Ovis aries: one gene and its partner. The protein of the gene in region 1 interacts with the protein of each later gene in a biochemical or structural test. Links are inferred from orthologs where the notes say so. Each region holds a gene or a part of one and is shown in the gene's direction. Other genes may lie near its edges. The genes, in order: NR4A3 and SIX3.

What was found.
Region 2: the proteins of NR4A3 (region 1) and SIX3 form a complex in vitro, tested with the Homo sapiens proteins (3 studies listed by BioGRID). The link is inferred for Ovis aries from reciprocal best matches to the Homo sapiens genes NR4A3 and SIX3.

The regions. Positions count from the first base shown.
Region 1 is NC_056055.1:48,002,101-48,010,330, reverse strand, and holds part of NR4A3 (nuclear receptor subfamily 4 group A member 3), read left to right. Parts: coding exon 1-360; intron 361-3,977; coding exon 3,978-4,107; intron 4,108-4,568; coding exon 4,569-4,741; intron 4,742-8,230. UniProt on the Homo sapiens protein: Transcriptional activator that binds to regulatory elements in promoter regions in a cell- and response element (target)-specific manner.
Region 2 is NC_056056.1:79,388,973-79,397,974, reverse strand, and holds the start of SIX3 (homeobox protein SIX3), read left to right. Parts: upstream 1-2,977; 5' UTR 2,978-3,025; coding exon 3,026-3,080; intron 3,081-3,955; exon of another isoform or gene 3,956-4,453; intron 4,454-7,476; exon of another isoform or gene 7,477-7,799; intron 7,800-9,002. UniProt on the Homo sapiens protein: Transcriptional regulator which can act as both a transcriptional repressor and activator by binding a ATTA homeodomain core recognition sequence on these target genes.

The DNA.
Region 1 (8,230 bases):
CCCGCCGGCGGCCACCACCTGGGCTACGACCCGACGGCCGCCGCCGCACTTAGCCTTCCGCTGGGAGCCGCCGCCGCAGCCGCCGCCGCAGCCGCCGCCGCGGGCAGCCAGGCCGCCGGGCTCGAGGGCCACCCGTACGGGCTGCCGCTGGCCAAGAGGGCACCCGCCCTGGCCTTCCCGCCGCTGGGCCTCACGGCCTCCCCTACCGCGTCCAGCCTCCTGGGCGAGAGCCCCAGTTTGCCGTCGCCGCCCAGCAGGAGCTCGGCCTCGGGCGAGGGCACGTGCGCCGTGTGCGGGGACAACGCTGCCTGCCAGCACTACGGGGTGCGCACCTGCGAGGGCTGCAAGGGTTTCTTCAAGGTGAGCCGCTCGCCTCCTCCCGGGTCCCCTCCCCTCCACTGCCAGCCTCCCCAGCCACCCGCTGAGAGCATCTACTCGGGTCCTTCCCGGTCCTGACCATTAGAGGTGTGATGTCACTGCGCATTCCTGTAGCCTTTACTAACACCTTCACACCCACTTTCTTGGGGCCTTTTAACTTGATGTCCATCACAGGAGGCTGCCCCAGGTGGGCTTGCAGAGACTGTGAACTTCCCGATGGGCCTTACCGGCTGCAATTTTTTCTGGAGAGCGCTTTCAGAAGATTCGCAAAGGGATCTGTGATCTCAAAAATGCACACATCTCTCTGTATTCCTCTTCTATCCATCCCAAATGTCTGAAGGAATAGAGCCTTGTGTGCCAGGCCTTGGGTATTTGTATCTCATTTAATCCTCCTAGTGAGAGCTAGGACTCTAGATCAGACAGAACTGAGATTGAATTTTGGCAACCCACTAGCTAGTTTTATGAACAGCATCTTGAGGGTTTAAATTAGTTATCCTTGTTTTATAGATGAGGAGATGGAGGTTCAGAGAAGTTATTCAACAGCCCCTAGACACACACTCAGAAAGTAAGATGGAGGCAGGATGCCGACTGGTGTTTGCCTGACCCCAAAGTGCATGCTTTCTTCACAGTTCAACAGCTGAAGAAGAGACAGGGACATCTGGGGAATGAAGCTTGGGGCAGCTCCCCTTGCAGAAGAGAGAAGCTGGAGTCTCATCAATCTGCTCCACTTCTGTGCCACACACAAGGCCAAGTGTGGACACTCTTCATTAGCTCATAGACCCAAAGGAGAATTTTACAGTGGGAGGGGTCTTCAGTCTCCCCCTTATTTTACCCATGAGGATATTGAAGGTTAAAGAGGTGATTTAGTGGCACATGGGGACAGTTCCAGCTAGTTTCTGCTACTCTGGAGTTCAGTGCTCTTCGCACCACTCAAAGAGAAGAGGCCTTGTTCTCTTACTGCTCTACTTTTGCTCTTGAACCCCAGACACTTAATTCTGCACCACCCTCCCTGTTCTCACTGCCTTGGTCATTGCATCAGGTATTTGCAAATCCAAGAATGTTCTCCCACAATTCTCACTTCCTAAGCTCCAGCGCTGGCCAGGGTGGAGAGAGAGGAGAAGCTGGATGCTGACTGGGTAATGAGGATTTGGGAGGCCAATAGGCTGGATCTTTGAGCGTGCTGGAATTATGAGTCAGAACAACCAGAAAGGAATCCTTGATCTGTCACCTATCAATTTTATGATGTTGGGTAGACACTTTCTTCCAGACCTCAGTTTCCCTATCAAGTGAATACAATGCAGAGAAGAAATGTTAGTTTTAAATGAGATAAAACATTTTTGAAAATATAATTTTTAAAGGGTCATAAAAGAATAGTACATCGTAAATGAAAACTACAAAATATTTATGAAAAATGCACATGTGTACATTGGTATACATACCAATAAGCAACAGTTATTTTTGATCTGGAGATAGGAATCATATGATTAATTAAATTCTACAGACAAATGAGAAAATAGTTGTGGAAAGATTTTACAATATATTAAGCACCATACAAGAGGTATGCTAGATTATGATGTCTTAAATGTAGAACCATCAGTTTAGCCGTTTTTTTTCTGTCAAGTAACTGCATTTCTTCAGCAGATTTGATTTTTACGGTGTTTCAGTGGAAATGCTAAAAGGCAGTGAAACAGGCAGCCAGAAGGGGGAAAAGAAAGAAAAACAATTATGAGAAGTATAAGTAATCCATAAATATAACCACCCCTGAATAATTGAGAGTTGACCTAAATGCAGGAGTGATAATAAATTTCTGGTCTAGAAATGTCAATTGTGTTCCCCAACAAGCATCCTTTTTCTACAGCAATACCTCGAAAACAAATCTATACTTGAATGGGTGGGGGTAGGATAGGGGAGAACCACCCCACACACGGATCTGTTAATTAAGGGAGCAGGAGCAGGTTTTACCCAGTGGCTTTCTACCATTAAATTGAATTCTTTAAAAATGTGACATGAAGTGCAGTTAATGATGGGAATTCAGTGATTGAACCATAACGATCTCTCCCTGTCCTTAAACAGTTGTGCAAGCACACACAAATGTTAGGAAGGTTTCAGGTTATTGGGAAAACATATACCTGAAGCAAAATGCCACCAGCACTCAAATTGGTATATCCTTGCGGATGATGATAAGAAATACAGTTTTCTAAAATTACTTTGAAAGAGAGCTTTTAATTACAATGAAAGAGAGCTTCATTCCGGAAACACAGGTTTCCTACCCTTACAGACTGCTGCAAATTTAAATGCTGGAAACATGAGAAGTATGTTGTATTTTTGAAATTTCTCATTTTGAACTAAAATCACCTGCTAAAGCAGGGAAAATGTATCTAGCTTTAAATTTTATATAAGCAGTTTAGAAACGATCCCTTAAAATGAAATTAAAAGGTGATAGAGTAAAAACAGATACAAGAGGATTGAAAATTGCTGAAAATTTAAAAGATAGAAAGTAAATCTAGAATTTTAGATACAAAATAGATCACCAGTCCTAGATTACCTAGATTTTTTTTTTTTCATGTAGCCCAGGCTTACCAAATAAATTCACCTTTCTGCTCTATTTGGAGTTGAATAGATTCAGGTAACTTCTGAATGAGTGGTGAATATACATCCATTTGCACAAATTATTTTTATTTTTTTAAATCAAGCATTCTCTTGTATCTGGAGCATAAAATATCTTTTATTATTTCATGTTTCATTTTAAAAGTGTATGTGATTCTGAAGAATACAACATTATTTTATATCCAGACCCAAGTTTAATGTTGCATCTTTTACAATATGGCTATTTTGTTCATGTCAATAGTCATTTATGACATAACCTATTAATGGGAATTTTCATTGAAAATATATGGCCCTCATATTCCTTCCTTTATCTCATTCTTTTTTGTTTGTTTGTTTTTTCTTGGATGTGATAGTGGTTTTTAGTATCCAGTTTTAAATCTTTTCTTTCAAAAGTCAGAAATGGACAGTTTACCATTCTTTTAAAAATAAAATACACTGCAAAGGCTGATTAAGTGATTTGTTTTTGCATTAAAACTTTATTTCCTATATGTTAAACCTAGAGAAGTCCTCATTTTTGCTCTTTATGATTTCATCTCTATTGGTGGACAAAGCCGCTTTCTGTGACATTTGACTTACAATAGTGATAGGCAACAAAGTATATCCCAGATAATTTTGATTTTATTTTAATAAGGTCAGCAATAATCAGGGGAGTGGACCAAGTAGAAAATTGTTCCCAAGGGGATATTAAAAGTGAAGATAATTTAATCCTCCAAGGTATGATATGTTGACCTGGTAATTTCAGATATGATTTTATCATTCAGACTTGGATGTCTCCTGAGACTTGCTTCAGAACAATCCGAGATGATTTTCATTGTCAGCAGCTAACACTAATAAAATTGTTTTTCCTGCAGGCTAGTGTGTTAGGAAATTAAATTTATCTAATTATACGAATTGCACTGTCGCTTTTCACATTGTAATTAAAATACATCTTGTCAGGTCCTACCTCTTTCCAGAAACTATTAGTTGACTATCTGTGTATTGTATTTCCTCAGAGAACAGTGCAGAAAAATGCAAAATATGTTTGCCTGGCAAATAAAAACTGCCCCGTAGACAAGAGACGTCGAAACCGATGTCAGTACTGTCGATTTCAGAAGTGTCTCAGTGTCGGAATGGTTAAAGAAGGTATGGGTATAATGCTTTTTATCCAACTTGCTTGTAAATATTCTCAGATATCCCTGAAAAAAGTTAATATTTACATTTGGGATGGTGAATTTTCCTAGTTTCCCTTTCCTTTCAGCATTCTATTTTTATGGTGTATTTACATTTAAAAATAGCAGAGGTCTGCTTATTCTAATTTCTCAAAATCAATAGAGAGCTTGTGTACATACATCTTTCTTCTATTTGAGAAGGAGACTTTTAGGGCTAATTCATTACCAAAAGTACGTATGGGGTGGCTGTTATGCTGGCTGTTTCAACTCTCATTAAATCATTGTGGGGATATTACTCCAAACTTTTTCCACTTTTAAACAGTCAGTCTCATTAATGATTTGCTCAGCTGTAAAGTGTTTTGTTTCCTTTCTGTGATTTATGGCTGTTTGTGGATATCTTTGGAGACATTTTTTCTTTTTTTCTCTTGGTATCAGTTGTCCGTACAGACAGTCTGAAAGGGAGGAGAGGTCGGCTGCCTTCCAAACCAAAGAGCCCATTACAGCAGGAAGCCTCTCAGCCCTCTCCACCTTCTCCTCCGATCTGTATGATGAATGCCCTTGTCCGAGCTTTAACAGACTCAACGCCCAGAGATCTTGATTATTCCAGAGTAAGTTTTATGATATCCTGCTTTTGAGTGAATGATCAGGGTCTCTATTCATGATGCTAGTAATAAGCCTGGATTGAATGACTTGTGTCTGGCACTGTGCTCAACCATTTTCATATCTTTTCTCTATTTTTTCACTTCACTTAGCAATTCCAGTGCATCCATTGCACCAAATAATTTTTGCCTTATTGAATCTCTAAATGCCTTAACAAATGACCCTGACAGTGCTGCACCTGTCATACCCATTGTTGCAGGATTCCTGATGGTTATGCCAATGAAAATCTGCACAGGTGAATTACAATTTGTACATTTCTTTCGTGCTTTAGACAACATGACTACTGTGTTTTTCATATTGTGACCAAACCAGCTGGGTAAGCCTCAAGTTATCCTTAAACAGTTTACCCAGTTGCACTGGCATTGATTGACCTACTGCTTATGGAGAGGGATTAGACCATTGATGGAGAGGAGCAAACTCTGGCCTTGACATCAGGATGACTGGGATGGAATGTTGCCTCTGCTGCTTCCTGCCTGGGTCACCTGGCTCCTGCTCTTGGCTTTCTCATCCTTACAGTGGAGATTACAATATTTAACCTCAGAGGGATGTTTTGAACATCAGTCACATAGGAACAATGGTTGAGAAAACATTTGAAACTGAAAATGACCACCAGTGTTGTTACGTCAACCAAAATATATCAACACTTTTATTTGATATGGGATATAGTGAAATATCATCAGTTTGAAACCTGAAAATTCCCAGAAATTTGGATAACATGAAGAAGAACGATTTTCTGAGCAAATGTATAAATATTATTGGAAGACAATTTTAAAAGAGACTTAGAAAAGCAAACTTCTAGTAAGGCAGGGTCTCACCAGAGAAAGAAAGAAAGGAAAAAGATCATAATTATTCAGCCATTTCTACATGCTAGACATTGTACTTTGTCTCATCTAACAACCATTTAAAGAACCATAAACTGTAAGAATAGTTACTCCCACTCTAAGACAAGGAAACTTACAAACACAATTTCCACACAGAGGAGAGAGAAACCAGTCAAGGGATCCCCAGTTGGTTGATTTGGCTTGGTAGCAATTACCAGATTGCTTTCTCCAGGTCCAATCAGTATCTTGAACTTCTGGTTGAAGGGTTGGCTAAGAGTGTGAGTGTGTCTGCTGTTGCCCTCTTCTTAGGTTGTAGTGTTGATGGAAATGAAAGGGTGATTGGTCTACCTGCTGTGATCTGCCTTCCTTCATCCCCTCCCTCCTTTTAGGCTGTGAGGCCTCCTTTGCACTCTGGAGCACAAGACTCCCTATGAGAAGCATGGTAGGTCCTTAGCATCAAAGGTTGAGGACTCTTGTTCTGATTACAAGTAGCATCTCTTGACTGCAGTCAAGTCTCAAATAATAGTTTAACTGAATAATGCAGTGGTTAAAGGGCTAAGGCTTTGGAACCGTGCAGGCTTCAAGTAAAATTCCAATACCGTCATGTATTGGAATGACCAATACATTCCAAGCTGGGTGACCTTGAGCAACTGATTAAATCTTTTAATATCTCACCTTCCTCATCTGTGTTATGGAACAATAATAATAATATCTACTTCCCAAGATTGTTTTTATAAAATTTAAATAAGATACTTGTCAGAGCTTTAGCTCAGTACCCTGTATGTTATCTCCTTGACCATACCTTCTTATTCTGTCATTTGTTGAATGCTTTAATGAGTATAAACACTACATATGTCAGGTGCTATGTAGCAAAACCACTAAGGTAAGTGTGATGGTTGCCATTTCATAGATGAAGAGATTAAAAGTGAGAAAGCCTAAAGAACTGATTTGCCCAAGGTCACATGAGTGAGTGAGTGAGTGAAGTTGCTCAGTCTTGTCCAACTCGTTGCAACCCCATGGACTGTAGCCTACCAGGCTCCTCAATCCATTGAATTTTCCAGGCAAGAGTACTGGAGTGGGTTGCCATTTCCTTCTCCAAGGTGTCCTAGCTAATATGTATCTGAGATAGAATTAGAAGCCAATTGGTCCAATTTTCCCCGCAAAGTCTGTGCTCCTAAGACCACAATTTCCTGCCTCTCTGGTTTCAGTGAGAATGGATGATGGAAAAGTGTTTGGGAATAAAGACTTTTCCATGAACCAACTCTGGCCTTCCCTTATGCAATCTGTCTGAATTAATGAAACTTCTTGGCACTGCCTCCACTGAGGCTACAACACACAATCTGACCTTGTACTAGGGCATTGGCAATGACCATGGCCAGTCCAAAGAATTTTATCCACAAAGTGATGATGGCAGGGGCACAAATCATCCAATTATTGGTCTACGTGGCCTAATTAGTTATTCAGTGGTGAACCCTGTCCCATACTTTGAGTTGTCCCAGCTGGGAACTGTCCACACTGAAAAATCAATCCACTATGTTTGCTTGCTTCTGCACCATTCAGTGTGTTAGACTAGAGTCATCATCCTCATCAACAAACATTTATCCAATTTAATTGTTAGCTTTGTCCAAAATAGCAGATTGACCATGCCAGAGTCTGGGTCACGATGATACTACCTTTGGGGCCTGGTTCAATTTTGCAAAGCATATCCATTTTAATTGCATTGTTTTGGAATCAGATCGAACCTCATAGCTTGGATTCTCCTGCTTTTAGATAGCTTTACAAAATTATCAAAAATTGGACTCAAATCAATTAAATTAAAAGTCTTTTTTAAAAAATACAGTGAGTTTTCATCAAAAACTTGGATGAAGGCATAGAAGGCATGCTGATCACATTTGCAGATGACAGAAAGCTGGGAGGGATCGCTAATATGATGGATGTCAGTATCAACATTCAGAGTGATTTCGACAGGTTGGAACAGGATGGATGAAACCATCATGGAGAAAGTTAACAAAAATAAACGTGAAGCTCAGCATTTAGAATTTTTTTAAATGGGAGAGACTTAGCTTCTCAGTGGTTCATGTTGAGAGATCTCAGGAGTTTATTCCCTATGCTCAGTAAGAACCACCAGTGTGTTTAGGTGGTGGAAGGAGGGGTGCTAAATTAGCTTCAGCCTCTGCAGAAGAAGGATAGGACCAGGACTAACTTGGTGGTGCCCCATGGGCTCTGCGCTGTCAGTCCACACTTCAAGGATGGAGTTCAGTTCCAAGCTGGGATTTAAGAGGGCAATGGATACACTGTTTTTAAAAACTTGAAAGGGATAGTTGGAGGAAATGGTAATATGTAGACAGAAAGAGAGTAGGTATGATGGGACTAGGTCACACTTTTGCCATGTTACCAAGAGGACTGTTCTCCAAAGGGCAGATCTAGAGGGTGAAGGAAGTGGCCTTTCCAGTCCATTCTGAGGACAAGAAAGAGTTCTATTGGCTCCAAGAACTGCTATGGAAGTGTGAAGAAACTTAAGGAGAACTCTTTAAGGGTTCCTCACAAGGAGACAGGTTGTTTTGGCTGATATTAAGTTCCTTCCAGCTCTAAGATTTCATGATTCTAGGGTCTACC
Region 2 (9,002 bases), on another chromosome or scaffold:
ACCCCCAAAGGGAAGACATTCTTTCCTATTCAAATCCCTACTCTACCCTCTACATTTCTAGGGCAACTATACATCTGCTTCAACCTGCCCTCCTTCCCTGTTTACAAAATAGCTCATCTCTTTTTCACAAGAGGAACCTTCCTCTACCCCCTTGCAGGATGGACATCTACTTGCTAGCCCAGAAAACCCTCTTCCTCCCTCCCCATCCTATTTTTCTCTACTTTTAGAGAGAGATTTAGGGAGGGAAGTGAAGTGGATGTAAGGGCACCATTACACCCAGGGTGCTAGCCTCTTCTGCAGGAAAACCATGGTGGCTACTATCTGGAAGGTTTACTGGGACGGGGGCAAGCAAAAAGAGCTGAAACCACAATCAAGCCTGTGCATTTGGCTTTTGGGAGAGCTACTCTAGAAATCCCCCTTCCTGACTTCCAAGTTGACCAGGACAGTAGGTTCTGTTTGGAACTGAGCAATAGGGAGTGAGAACTTCACAATATCTCACCAAGAAAATCAGTCTGACAAACCAAATAATTCAGTTTGCTTTGGAGTGTTCTTTTGTGGATTTGATATACAGGGAATTGGGGTGGAGGTGAAGGTAGGAGAGGATGCAGCTAGCTAAGGCTCTTTTTAACGACTAAATTTGGCATAAAGGGAAATAGGGGGGCAAAATAAGGGCCCCCTGGCTTCTTGAACCCTGGTTGGGGCTGAACATTCCTATTAGAAATCTCCCAGCTTTTGCGTGAAGGCGTCTATGCTTTCCACCCCATCCTTCAGAACACAATCTCATAAACCAACAGTAATAACAAATAATCCGGGTCAAAATAAATCTTTTCTGGATTGCCCTCTTCTGGGGGTCTCCAGCCCAGCTTAGAAGAAGGTAAAAGGGGCAGCTTTGGGGTGGATGCGGTGCTCTTTCTAGTCTCCAGCACTTGATCTGGAACGTTTCACCCAGTCGGCTTAACAAAGTTTCTCCTTCGGGGAGCCAACGTCCGTCTCTCTAGCAGGAAGCCCTTGGCCTCGCGTTCCGCATCCTCATTCGAGCCACTCTCCCTGTATGTGGCTTCCTGCACACCTGCCTGCGGCTGGGGTCACTCCGCGCGCGGCCACTGCGGCTTTTGTCTGCATCTGCACAACTGGGTGTGCCCCCGTTCATTCAAATAATACTGTCTGTGGACATTTCTTCCCCCCCTCCCCAATCCTGCTGTTAGTATTCCTCTAATTCTCCCGTGCATTCGGGTACAATTGCATGTACGTTCCGTGTACAGTCAGGTGACTCAGCTTAAAGCCTGAGCTCCGACGTATGCGACCCCCTGAGTCTGCGTGGAGAGGAGGAAGTGTGCAAGTGTAAATTCGGGGCTTTAGGTGGGGCGCGAGGTTAATACGGTTTTCCGGCCCCAGGGCCTTCTAGGCCTCTCTTACACCTTACACCTCCCCATCTTAACTTTTCAGGAAGAGGGCGATCCTCCGAGGATCCTGAGCCTTGTTCCTTGGGTGGGGGGAGGGGGTAGAAGGGTCGAAACGGCCTTTGGGATCTCTCTTGGTGGATTTCGGCTGGGCCAGGCCAAATGGGAGGGGTGGGGGAGTTCGCGAAGTCGCCTGGAGGCGCGCCACTGCACCCCTCCACGCAGGCCACCAACTGGACCAGGGCGCCCCGGGATCCTGGGGACCTTTTAGGAACCAACAATGAAAGTCCAGGCGCCTCGAGGGTGAGTAATCTACGTCTTTAGGGGAGAAACTTTCTTCCTCGGCCTCCTCCCGGGACCGGTTGTATTTGTAATTGGGAGCTGGCCTGGGACCGCCCCCTCGGCCCCTCCTCCCGCCCCCACCTCGGCGCTCCAAGCTCAGCCGGCTGCCGGACCCTGAGCCCCTGCCACCGCCACGCACCCTAAAGGGCCACGCCATCTCTTGAGTCCTCGGAGAGGCCTAAGGGCCTGGAGCGGACAGGAAGGGTACCAAGTGGGGTGGTCAGGGTCAGGCCGCGACCGCCGTGCGATGTATCCCTCCGCCGGGCGCCGCCGTGCTGGCCCGCGCGTCTTCTAGTCCCCGAAGCCGGCGGGAGCGCTGGCCTCCGGCGTGCTGGGATGGGAATGCGGGTGGCTAGCAGGCGACTGGAAGCTGTTCTCGCAGGGATGGTGCGGGGACCGGTGCGTTCCTGGAATCCTGTAGATGTGTTTTCCCGTGAGTGTGAGAAGGATGAGTATTCGCGGCTAACTTCAGGTCAGTTTGTTCGTGAAAGGCTGTTGTCAGTGCGTCGGCCTATCTCCTGGGCATTCGCACAAAGTGAGGCCACCTCTCTCCCACCCTCCATACAGCCTCCCAGGCCCGGTCAAAGGGCCAAGACCCGGGGCCCCTGAGGCCTGGAGAGGTGAGGCTCCTGCTATACGCCCCCGGGGTTCTGATCATGAATTCCAAGCTGCCCAGCTGCCCACACTGGGTCAACCTAGAAAACCTACGTGGGAAAGGGGGACTCAGAGAGCTATCCCAACGTCCAGTGCAGGGTGAAGTCCCAAGCTCGAGCACAGGACCTGCGGACCTGGAGTCTCACTGCCAACCCAGCCGGGGATCCGGATGGAGTAGTGCTGGTACAGGGTGGAGGTGGAGATGAAAAGAATGGAGAAGAAAAAAACTACACTTGGTTGAGATGGAGTTGGGCAGCTTCTGAAATCTCCGGCTTTTCGCCCTGCTTTGGGGAGGTGCATCGTGCTGCGCCGTTACCCCCCCCCACCGGAAAATAAAGCTAATGATGTAGTAATTTAGGAGGGGGTAAGGGGCTGGGCGAAAGGAGGGAGGAAGGATGGGGAACACGCGCCCCAAGAGCGAAGGCAAACAGCTGTGGAGGCGCTGCCCGCAGCTCAGGCTTCCCAACAGGTTAGCTAGACAGGGATCCACCCGGCATTTCGCAGGAAAGGGTGGGGGTTGGGGGGAGACTGAGCGAGAGGGGGAGAGAGCCTCACAAGAGGACAGAGGGAGGGAGACAGATAGGAGCCAGAGCGCGCGCCGCGCGGTTTAAAAGGAGACACACTTCCTAATGAATATTTATCCGCCGCTGCTTCCTGCTCCCGGCTTCCCTTACCTTTCCGCAGGTAAGATCCTCCCTGATTCCCAGACCTGGGAGGGGTGGGGGTGCTCCCAGCTCCCCAATCAGTCTCGGGGCAAAGTTGGCGGGGCGGAGGGGTTCTTGGCAGCCGAGGAAGGGGAGTAGGAGGGCGACTCCCTCCCGGCTGGGCTGGGGCGCCGGCGCAGGAGACCCGGCACTGCCAAGGCCGCGTGCGTGGGCTACCTGTGTGGAGTGGGTGCGAGTGCGTGTGTGTGAGAGGGAGAGGATGTGCACCCGCGGGCGCGAGCGCGTGTTGCCCGCGCGCTCTGAGGACATTTTTCTGACTTTTCACTCGGACGCTCCGGATTTCTTGCCTTTGCCTTTCTCTGCTTCCTTCTCCCGCTTCTGCCCTCTCCACCTCCCCCAACCTGTCCCCAGTCCTGGCCCCCAAGACGCTCCTCTGCAGGCTGCTGTATATAGCTGGCGACTGCTCCCCCGGGGCTGGATCCCGGGCTCTCATAAGAAAGGGTGTATAGGTGGGTTTCTGTCCCCACCTCCTCCCCACAAAGGCCGCGCGGCCACGGGGTCCCGGGTCCCCATCCGGCCCGCTACACTCTGGAGGTGCTGCGGCGCGTTCCGCCACCTACATGCCTCGGAGCACCGAGGCCCATAACCGACCTAAGGGTGATCGGGCCCGCGGGTCCTGGGTGGAGCCGTGCTGGTCTGCAGCTGGGAGCCGGAGGGCCCCCGGGAGAGAGTGCCACTCAGTCCCTCCCTCACTGCCTCCTCCCGCCTTCGCCCGCGGGAGGAGCAGCGGGAATTCGGGGCTGCCGGGGGGGGGGGGGGGGGGACTGGGAGGGGAAAAGGGAAGGGGGCCGGGGAGGAGCTGGTGCGAGAACCAGAATTCTTAAATGGACTTACTTGGCCACCTGTTGAGAATCCGTGTGGGGTCGGCCGGCTCCGGAGCTGCGCGTGGTGTACACACAAAACCAAACGCCCAAGTTGGAAAAAGAAAATTATTTCTCTGGCCATGCCTGGCGCAGCCTGTCAGGCTCGCAGCTCAGCAACAGGGTCCGGCGGCTGCAGAGCCAAAAGCAACTTTGCCAGGTCTCTAGCCACCACAGTGTCCCCCTCATCCCACGCCTCCTCGGTTCCGAGGCCGGGAGCTGGGAGCCCCCGGACTCGGCGCTCAGGGCCCAGCACTCGCAGTTCGGCTTAAGCCGGGACAGGCTTTCTAAGCCCCGCTCAGAAGTCAAGAGCAGCAGCCCCGCCGCCTCCTCGCGGCCTTTAAAGACGCGGTGGCTCCTTATTCTTGTGCCTCGGCCTCTCTGGTTGCCCCGGGACAAAGCCCCTGGAGCCCGGCCGCTCCCTTCCCGCTAAATCCCCTTCGGGGTCAAGGCGCTACCAGCACCCGGCCTCGCGCTTCTCCTGCCAGCAGTGTGGCTCTTAAAGACCGCAAACCTCCCCCCACCCTCGCCACCTCGCCCTGCGCGCTCCCCCGACCCCCGCCTCCCCGCCCCTCTCCTATGGATCTAGCCCCCCACGCCGACGCCTCAGGTCCCTCCTGTCCCGAGGCCCGCGGACTCCTAGCCCCCTCCTCTCGCCTCCTCCCCTGAGCAGTTGGTGGGCCTGGCCTTGGGGCCACAGAGCTGAGTTATACCCTCCGCCTTAGGACCCCGTTTCTCTCCAACAGCCTCAACTCCTCTCCTCCTGGCTCCTACCTTTGGTCTTTGCATGGATCAAGGCCCCAAGCACTGCCTTGCCTAAGGCAGAGATGATTTCAGTTTGGGCTTGAATTAGGAGGTCGTGGAATGGAAAAAGGGGCGGAGCATGCCAGTTGAGCTGGGGGAGAGAGGTGAAGAGGAGCAGGCCAGATGGATTCAGAAGGCTGTGCCATCCCAAGGCCTACCTGGCCTTTTGGCAGAGGATGAGAGCTGGATGGAGCCACTCATTCCTAGAGGTGGCCATTCTGGAATGGGATCCAGAGGTTACCAGTCTGGCCAGCCCATGTGTGTCTGAGAGATCGTGGGCATGGGGGTGTGGGGGTGGGCACCTCCAGAATGCCCAGAGTGTGGACCTGAGAGCAACCTACTTTCCAAGCTCTGTCTATTAATCCCGCCATAAGTAACCCTTAAAAGCCCAAGAGCTGGGTAAGCAAGGAGGGGCCTTGAGTAACAACTGTCCAGGGAAAGGGACATCAGGGGAGAGAGGGGGTAGAGAGGGGAAGGAGTCTACTCTTTCAAAGCACTGAAGCCCAACTGCTAACAAGGTTCCTGACATTTGCTGGTCAACAATGTCACTTGTCCGACCAAGAAAAGGAGAAGTAGATGGTGCTTTAGTCCTCCTTCTTTCCACATGTCTCCCTCTCTTTTTCTCCTTCAGGCCTGTTTTAGCCTTAGTCTTACCCTAGCAGCGGGTTGATCCTGTGCAGAGTGGCCTTTTGCCTGGAGTGCTTTTTTTCAGGCCTCCTGGAGACCCGATGTGCGATGAAAGAAAAAAAGCAAGAGACATCGTGGCTAGGATTGGGGGCAAGGACAGGGTGCACTGTGGTACCTTGCCTTTCCTAGTGTCAACTATCATAACATTTGACTGTGCTTGAGGTCTGTGGATGGTGGGAGCAATGATGGTGTGCCCACCCCTTAACTCCAAGCCCTAGCACACCAGTTCTGGCTGTTATACCCGGGATCTCTGCAAAAAAAAAAAAAAAAAAAAAAAAAGAAGCAGCCTCCTAGGCAGTGGAGACCAAAGGAATTTGGAGGAGGAAAGAGATGGAAAGCTGACCCTCCATGGGCATCTACTCTCTGCCACACCAAGGTTAGTCCACTTGCAGTTCTTTAAGGAACTGGGGTGACTGATTTGAAATTGACCCTCTTGAGAAATGTTGGCAGCGCTCTCCTTAGGCTACAACCAAAGGCCACAAACCACCCCTTGCCCCCCCCCCTCCCCAAGTCTCCCACCTCTTCTCTTGTGGCTGGGTAACCACAGCCAGCTAGGCCTTGTTTGTGCCCACTCTCCTGGGCCTGACAGTGGGAGGTACGGTGGCCCAAGACGGAGCCAAACTTTTCTTGTTTGGGGATGTGGGGGGCAGAGGGGCCTTCGGCTGGCGGTGGGGCTCATTAGGCAGAGCGGGGTGCCGAGAGGTGTGCGCCGCCAGCCGGGAGGCCGCCTTTGAGCGGTCGGGGCGGCTTCATTAAGCGGCGCTAACAAGGCATACAAATGCCGGGCCCAGCAGCTTTCTTGCAATGTCGGGGCCTTAGCAGGGCGCCAGGCTAATGAGGGTCACTCAAAGGGGCTGATCAAATATTCAAATTTCCCCGCACGCCGGGCACTTTTATGTATGGAGAAAGTTGAGGCAACTGAGCTGTGTTTACTGTCCTGGTCGACAATTACTCGGAGCGCGGGTGCCCGGCGGCTAAGGAGGGGCGGGGGCGCGGGAAAGGGAGCCGTTGTTGTTGTTGTTGTTGTTTTTCATTCAAAGGAAAGTAATCGGGGTCCTTGAAGGGCTTCGCGGCCTCCCCGCTTGCGTGCTGCGCTCCCCTGCGCCCTCCTTGGCCGTCGGCGCCAAGCGCCTCAGTTTGCAGCTTGCGGGGAGGCCCAGACAGCGGGCCAGCTCCCGCCTCCCGAAGTCTTGGGGGCCGGACAAGCGTTGCCCCCCAGGACAAACTGGCCTATGGAGATGAGCGAGGTCAAGTGGGTGCCGCTGCCCCAGCCCTCGGGTCTTCCTCTCTCGGAGGCTTCCAGACCCCTTGGCTTTGCCGGTAACAGAAACTAGGAGAGCGTGGGACTATCTTAGACACCTCTTATGGTGGTTGAGACTGCCTCGGTTGGGAATGACATTTGTAAGTAAATGCCCAGTAGGTCCTGGTAAGAGAAGGCTAACTTCCAGCCCAAAAGCCCTTTCTCCCCTCATCAGCTGTGCTGCTGTCCTTCCCATCGCCTGGGTCAGGATTAAAGCAGAGACGATGGTGACAATTTTGTGACCTCGGCCTGTACTGGTGCCATATCCCAGATCCCGGCGTCTGAGCGGCCAGAGAGCAGAAGACACCTAGAGACCCCGCGGCCGACCTAGCCGTCAAGATCTCCCTTCTCTGAGAGACTCAGGGAGCAGGAGCCCCCTGCGCACCACCTCCTCCAGGCGTCCCCCAGGCCCACCTCCCGGCTCTCGCGCTGCCCAGCACTTCGGATCCCCATAGCAGCGGGGCACGCAGCCTGGGCCCCAGAACCCGAGGTCCTTCTCCTAACATCCCTCCCCAACGCCCAGCGTCTAGGAATTTGGGAGGGGAAGCTCTACCGCTCCACCTCCCCACCAACCTCCCATCAGCACCTTAGATCGACATCCTGCCGAGTCTGTCCTCCCAGCTCGGCCGGGAGCCAGTCCAGCCATCCGTGCCGCGGACAAGCCGCCCCGCCTCCCTCCCCAGCTCCCTGGACTCTCAACTTACGGGCTCCCGGCGGCAGGCGTGGTGCTTCAGGCCGGAGCGGAGAGCCGTTGGCAGCTGCGGGACCGCGGGGTGGGCTCGGTGGGCTGCTCGGAGCTCGGCTCTGCGGGGAGGCTCAGACAGCCCCGGGCTGCGCGCCCACCCCGCCGCTCCTGGCCCTGGACCGGCGCACAAAGCTGCGCGCCTGTCTGTCGCCCTCCGCCCGGCTTTGCACCCAGCAAGCCGCCGGAGGGGTGCGGCGGCTCGGCAGGCTCCCTGGCTGAGGCTGGGGGCAGAGGTGCCGCCGAGCTGAACCTCAGCCCCACTTGCTTCAGTTCTCCTGGAGTGGCGACGGTTTTCGATTTCAGCGCTTTCGGCAGAGCCCGCGGCACCTGCCCAGCCTCCCTCCGGGGCTGGCCCAGCAGCGCCAGGGAGAGGCCGGGTCGCCCCAACCCGGAGGCGGGGGTTGCGGGGACTGGGAGGGGACTGGCTGGGTTCACCCGCCCGCCCGGCGCCTTGGGTCCTCGGTTCCAGGGGATGCTGTTTCGGGGTCACGAGCTGTTTTCAAAAAGTTGAACACAATATTCGGAAACCCACCCGTAGGAATTCTCCCCCCACACGCGGCACAATACCCACTCCCCTCCCCTTTTTCATTCCTTCCTCCCCCGCTTCCTCCTCCTGCCCCTTCCCCCTCCCACCCCTCAGCCTATAATCCTTCCCCGACGAGAGAAAGGAGAGAAAGGGTCGGGAAGAAAAGATGAAGTGTCTGTTTTTGTGTCCCAACCTTAGGGCTCTTTCTGGGCCCGCAGGAGCGACCGCCTAGAGCTTCTCAGCTGAGCAGAAAAGGACTCGGCCGGGAGGAAGATTCACGGAGGGGAGAGATACACGGAGCCCCACAAAGTGGGGCTTGGCAGGTTTTCCCTTTGGGCGAATATTTAACTGCCTGAGTCAGCGAGTTTAAGACTAGCGACCCTAGCTGCCTGGGGGCTGAGTGGCCGCTGTCTAGCCCCTTCGCCCAGCCCACAGCCTCCCAGCTGCAGTGGAGCCTCCAAAGCAGCTTGCATGTCTCACCCAGGAAGCCTGGTGTTGGGGGAGTCAAGGCCTAAGGAGGCCAGAACTAGGGGTTTAGGGGCTGGGACACTTACAGTCTTAGTCGCGTTAGGTTTCCTATTTAAATTCTCTCACAGTCTGTCTTTCTCGCCTCTGTCTTTGAGATTTGCAAAGTGGTGTGGTCTCAGTGCCTCACCCCCAGATCTGCATCGGAATGTAGAAAAGATCTTTTTTTTTTTTTTTAAAGAAAAAAAGTTTTGAATTCCTCAATGATTTTTCTTCTGGAAAGGCAGCTTAGGATAATTATTTCAGCTTTATTGAGGGCAGATTAGTTGAAGTCTGGACGCTGCGTTTTCAATACACGTTGTACACGGGCCGACAATGTGGGCATTGTTGGCTACTGTGTGTGAACTCATTCAAAATATACACTTTTTAACACCAAACCGAGTCCTGTCTAAATATACACAGTGCTCAGGGGAAAGACATCACTGACCTCGACA